Tribolium castaneum: one gene and its partner. Each later gene encodes a partner of the first gene's protein in a complex. Links are inferred from orthologs where the notes say so. Each region holds a gene or a part of one and is shown in the gene's direction. Other genes may lie near its edges.

The links.
Region 2: the proteins of U2A (region 1) and snf are in contact, whole or in part, in a crystal structure (PDB 6F4J), measured with the Drosophila melanogaster proteins. The link is inferred for Tribolium castaneum from reciprocal best matches to the Drosophila melanogaster genes U2A and snf. Residues at the interface, in NP_610315.1 of Drosophila melanogaster: Tyr15, Asn17, Pro18, Arg20, Glu23, Asp25, Arg27, Ser50, Leu70, Asn72, Asn73, Ser92, Ile94, Thr96, Leu121, Ile122, Leu144, Asp146, Phe147, Arg148, Lys149, Lys151; in NP_511045.1 of Drosophila melanogaster: Ile18, Glu22, Lys24, Lys25, Ser26, Tyr28, Ala29, Ile30, Ser32, Gln33, Phe34, Gly35, Gln36, Ile37, Leu38, Asp39, Ile40, Phe72, Pro73, Phe74, Tyr75, Asp76.

Annotation. Positions count from the first base shown.
Region 1 is NC_087395.1:21,924,832-21,927,953, forward strand, and holds U2A (U2 small nuclear ribonucleoprotein A'), read left to right. Parts: upstream 1-1,473; 5' UTR 1,474-1,559; coding exon 1,560-1,641; intron 1,642-1,687; coding exon 1,688-1,835; intron 1,836-1,885; coding exon 1,886-2,238; intron 2,239-2,293; coding exon 2,294-2,419; intron 2,420-2,468; coding exon 2,469-2,503; 3' UTR 2,504-2,605; downstream 2,606-3,122. UniProt on the Drosophila melanogaster protein: Involved in pre-mRNA splicing as component of the spliceosome. Associated with sn-RNP U2, where it contributes to the binding of stem loop IV of U2 snRNA.
Region 2 is NC_087394.1:32,061,200-32,064,048, forward strand, and holds snf (U1 small nuclear ribonucleoprotein A), read left to right. Parts: upstream 1-1,176; 5' UTR 1,177-1,479; coding exon 1,480-1,716; intron 1,717-1,809; coding exon 1,810-2,057; intron 2,058-2,106; coding exon 2,107-2,266; 3' UTR 2,267-2,345; downstream 2,346-2,849. Other genes in the region: oxysterol-binding protein-related protein 11, read right to left, coding at 2,431-2,476. UniProt on the Drosophila melanogaster protein: Binds stem loop II of U1 snRNA. It is the first snRNP to interact with pre-mRNA. This interaction is required for the subsequent binding of U2 snRNP and the U4/U6/U5 tri-snRNP. Plays a role in regulating sex-lethal splicing.

The DNA of each region.
Region 1 (3,122 bases):
TCCGTTACTCCAAATTTGAATAATCTAAGGTCGCGCTGATTGTATTGTGACTCGCAAAAATTTTGTATAACTTGTGAGAGTTGCTAAGTGTCGTTTAATTTGAATGCGTTTCTTCACCGTAGTACTAGTGTTTCTGCAATACCACATCATTAGACATTCTTTCATTCTGTCGTCCACGAATGTGGGTTAATGATGTTATTTTATTAAATACTTTTTGAAACGAATTTCAAATCAGCGCGATCGGCTCGAAAGTTGACAATGCAGCTAATTATGATTCACCTTTTTGTAAACATGGAATTTAACTCAGGGGAAGTCCTTGCCTAAGGACTGCCGACCGGAAGCGAGCGCAGCCTTCTCACATATTTTCGGTAACGACCGCAGGCTGCATTTCCATAATTATTTAATAAAGTGGGATATTTATAGACGCTGTGTATGCAGCGCTGCTAAATTAGGCGATTTGCAGTACTGTTCCGAAGACACTCGCACTTTTATTCCAATTAGCATAAGTAAACAAGGCAACAATTGCATTCTTTCAGGTGGGTGGCATTATACAATTATTACACATTGCGTATTTAAAGTGGGTCCTTCAGAAATTTGTGATGTGAGAAACCTTTCCCTCAAGTACAATTCGGCTCACAATTAATTATCATCAGGTGGTAATAAATCTTATCGCGAAACGCGCATTCTTCAAGTCTCATTAGCTCGGAAAAGTCACAAGGAAATTTTCTTCCAGATTAAGAATGGAACGAGTTTTATCACTCATCGGCGCGTAATTGGTGTAAGTTCAATGGAAATAAACCCGTTCGGTTTGGATAAACATTTGTGACGTCAATGAATAATTTGGCTCTTGTTTTTTGCTCTAAGGGGAAGTGAAGAAGACAATGGCTTGATTCGTTTCACGAAATCATTTTTTGATTAATTAATGACGATGCGGGGAATCCGACAGATAATAATACTTCAAACGTACATTCCACACATTCATTGTGTTTTTCTTATTGTTTAGCAACTTTTTTTAGCCAGAATTAGCATATTTGTGACCAACACAAATCGCTGAAATAAGTGTTGGCAGACGTGTTTTTGTATATAGTGAAGCCTTTGAATCCGAGCCATTTTTGTTTGGGGTTTTCCCGATTATGAAATTAATTTTTTCTTACCTAATTAAAATAAATAAATAACTGAAGCAGGACTTTTTATTACAAAATACAATAATGTAACATACGGAGTATATTATCAAATTATCATTATCAGCTGTTAACAGTTAAAAGTAAGTTTGTTTTTCGGGTTAGAAGGGGTTCGGATTAACGACGTTTTCCTGTATTTTTTCATATTTAGATTCCATGTTTTGATACAAAAATTAAATTATTAATTATTTGGTCCCAATGATTGATATTTATTGCTTCATCTTAATTTTGGAAATTTTTGGAAATTCAGGGAAATTGCGTTTGGGGCGCTCTCTACAGGTATTCGTGTAACAATTACAGAAACCTGTAACGGTAGTCGGTGAAATTGATGGCTTGTGCGTTGTTTGTTTAATTGTAATTTTTCGCTAAAACCTAATTATGGTGAAGCTAACAGCCGAGCTGATTCAAAATTCCATGCAATACATAAATCCGGTAAAAGACCGCGAGTTGGACTTACGAGGTGAGGACCAAATGTAAAAAAGTTGGGTTAAGTCATCTTTTTTTAGGTTATCGCATCCCCGAAGTGGAAAATCTGGGGGCCACCGGTGACCAGTTCGACACAATTGACTTTTCGGACAATGATGTGCGCAAGTTGGATGGTTTTCCGTACTTGAAGCGGTTGAAATGTTTGCTTTTTAACAATAACCGTATTGTGTAAGTTGTGGGGTTTTTTCGTTTTTTTTTTTTGAGTTTTGGGGTTTTAGACGCATTGGGGAGCATTTGGAGGAGTACATTCCTAATTTGGAGACGCTGATTTTGACTGGGAACCACTTGGAAGAGCTGGGTGATATTGAGCCGTTGTGCACTTTGGAGAAGCTCACCACAGTTAGTCTTTTACATAACCCTATCACTTCCAAGCAGCATTACAGGCTATACCTAATTTATAAGTTACCGCAGTTAAGGTTGCTCGATTTTCGTAAAGTCACAGCTAAGGAACGGGAAGAGGCGAGGGCTCTGTTTAAGAGTAAGAAAGGCAAGGAGATTAGGAAAGAAATTGGGAAAAGGGCAAAGACGTTTATTCCCGGAGGTACAGGTAACAGTATTGCCAAAAGTAAAGGTACGTCTTACATTTTCTGTGAGTTTTATTTTTTCAATTTAATTATTTTTTCAAGGCCTTACAGACGAAGAAATTGCGAAAATTCGTGAAGCTATCAATAAGGCCAGTTCTTTGGAAGAGGTTGAACGGTTACAGAAGATTTTACAGTCTGGTCAAATTCCTGGTCAAGAAGAAATGAACGGTTAATTTTTTCTATGATTTATTGTGGGAAATGTAATATTTTTTTTCAGGATATCAAAATGGACAAAGTATGGAATATGAATAAGTTTGAGGTAATTTTCAGTCAGGTGTACAATTAATTAGTTTTATTTATAAGTTCCGGTTGATAAGAGTATTGTACTACACTAAATACAAGGTTGAGAAGCGAGCGGAATTAATTTTTCATTTTTTCTAATAAAGCAATACGTACAATAACTGGGTATTATTTCAATCTTTCCCGACTGAAACAATGCCTTTCTGGCAAGATTTATCTGTTTCAGAAATTAATTGAACGAAATAAGCTAACAACAAATTTTGTTTTGCAGCTAATTTTTCGAAGAAAATTAGTTTTTAGTTTTCACAGCGAGCAAAAGTAATGTTAATTACAGAAATAAACCAGTTTTTTAAATTTTGCGGATTTTAAATTTGTCTGTAAACATGTAAAAAATAAAAAATTGTTTTTATCTCAAAACCGTCTTGCGAATACTTTTTAGTGGCTACTCGTGTCATTTTAAGAGCGCCTTGGAAATTGTGTCTAAAGTGACCGAAATACTTTTCAAAGTGTGTGGTAATAGTGGTTTTAGAATATTTCAAAGTTCAAATAAATTTTTTCATTTCAGAATGTTTTAGTTGATTTGGAATTATTTCTATAACAATTCGCGTCACTTATTTTATCTTTTTAATTT
Region 2 (2,849 bases), on another chromosome or scaffold:
GAATAAAATAATAAAATTTTAAGAGACAGGCGTCTAATGTAGGTACCCTATAATATACCATGAGATCCAAAAATTCTTTCATCCAAACCAAAGCTTTTCACAAATAATACCTAAATCCTATTTCATTTCATAGTAGAATTTTTTGACAGCGCATTTGAATTTGTTGGAGTGAAATAAAGCACAAATTTAGAGTTTTTTTTATAAGAAAAGAACTCTGGTTTAAGCTAAATTCTAGCAACATATTTTGAGCCAAGAAATCCCACAAGTAACTCTAAAAAATGCAAATATAATGAAAATTACTTACATAAAATTACATAATCTCGAATAGATTTGATTACAATTAAAATGTTCTGTAAACCGGCTTATAGATCTGAAATATTGATTAAAAAATTAGAAAATATTAAAATTTAGATTAGAAAGACTTTAATGAAATAAATATTTCTATCGTCTTATCGTGAAATTATTTTTCGATTGAAAAAAATACTTGTATTCTTGTAGCAAGTGTTAATTAAATACAATTTTATGGCAACGTCAATTATTGTTTTTACGGATGGATTGCGTGGAGTCAAGCACTTGGGTTCGACTGTCGAAGATGCTTTCATAATAAAATCTAAACGTTGCCATAAAATTTTATTTAATTAACAACTCCTGGCACAAGAACACTAAATAATTTTTTATTTGAATTACATATTTTTACATAATAAGTTTTATTTACCTATGTTTTTATTAATTTTTATTTTTGTGCTTTTGACAAACTAGTAGTCACAAATTTTTTTTTCAGAAAGAATATCAAGAGACTGAGAGGATGTGATCTGCATATAATTTTGACTTTCTTATCAGCAGCTTCGTTAATCAACTTTTTTTAATAACAACATTTAGGGTAAGTTTGGATTAATTAAGTAATGTTACGTAAATAAATGGAGAGTTTAGAAGTCAGTCAGTGTAAGTGAAATAACAATTAAGTATTCAAAATTAGAAAAAATAAAAATTTGGCAAAACACAGGTGAAAAACAGAATTGTTATCGAAAGACTTAATTGGCTAGGCTTCTGAAAAAGGTAATAATGTAGTGTCTTCGACAATAAAACCTTATTTTTTACAGAAAATTTTATTCAAGGGTAGATGTTCATTGTATACAACCAACAATACAGTACACGAGTAGCAGACTTGTCGGATAGATGTCAGCGCAATATCAAACAGGAAGTTAATCGACGCCATTTTTGTAGCCGACCACCTAAAGCTTTGAAGTCAAACAACAATGATTCAATCTAAAGATTCAGCTGGTTTATTATACAAAGTTTGGTGTTTGAATCCATTGTCGGCGTCGAAACGTTTTGTAAATTTTCATATATTCGACTTAAGTACAAAACAAATTAGACTGGAGAAGTTTAATTCCAAGAAAACGTGCTAATCCGATCAGATTTATTTACCAAACAAGAGGTATTCTGCTAAGAACTAGCTGAGATAACTAACCTCAAACCATGGATATTCGACCAAATAACACAATCTACATCAACAACCTAAACGAGAAAATCAAGAAAGAAGAACTGAAGAAGTCACTCTACGCCATATTTTCCCAATTTGGCCAAATCCTGGACATTGTGGCCCTCAAAACCCTCAAAATGCGGGGCCAAGCTTTCGTCATTTTCAAGGAAATTCAAAGCTCGACCAACGCTTTACGCTCCATGCAGGGGTTCCCGTTTTACGACAAACCAATGGTGAGTATTCCGCCAACATTTTAAGACTCATTTTATAAATGTAAATATTGTGCATTGCACCAGGCACAAGCGTAACTAACTCCCCTGTTTCAGCGAATTCAATATGCAAAGACAGATTCCGACGTTATTTCGAAAATGAAGGGTACGTTCCAGGAGAGGCCCAAGAAAATACGCCCCCCGCCTTCCAAGGAGGACGAAGCGCCTAAGAAAAAGAAGAAGAACAAGGACCCCAACAGAATCCCCGGTGGAAGCAACGCTGAACAACCTCCAAACCAAATTCTCTTCCTTACTAATCTGCCCGACGAAACGAGCGAAATGATGTTGTCCATGCTTTTCAATCAGTATGTTTGGTTCATTGGTTAAAATACTTGACTCATTTTTATTCAATAGATTCCCTGGATTCAAAGAAGTGCGTCTTGTGCCCAACAGACATGACATCGCTTTTGTGGAGTTTGAAAACGAGTTGCAGTCAGGGGCTGCCAAGGACGCCTTGCAAGGGTTCAAGATCACACCCACACATGCCATGAAAATATCGTTCGCAAAGAAATAAGACCACAAATTACGTAAATAATTATAAGGAACAGTTTTATAATTTAACAATCAGTCATAAACAATTTTTCAGTTCTGAAGCTCTGTTCTTGATGTATTCGTGTGACAAAACGATTTGTTTCTTGGCTATTTGTGATTTTTCCTCATTTTTGCAGCCACTTCAGGTCACACTTTTTTATAAAATTTGCAACGTTTCGTTAGCCCACACTTCCTAAAAAAGTTTAAATTAATGCTAAAATAAAAGGAAAGTTTGAGCCTTTAGGTTATCTGAGTTTTCGCACGCCGTGTAAAATAAAATTTAATTTATTTATGGTATATTTACCCTAATACAAATTATTTTCTTCACCATGTCTATTCTATGCTTCAAATTTTACACAAATAATTATAATTAAAACATCATGGTGGAAAAAAAATTACAAATTATAATGGACTTGCACTACAATTGGTACAATTGTGAAACTAAAACCTCAAAATAATTCTTACATTTTGAAATTACAGTACAACTTCTTTAATCCGACCAGAATTTTTTGTTGCAGTCAAATCTATACTACGAATGTTAGGATCAAAAACTTGGAAAAACAATT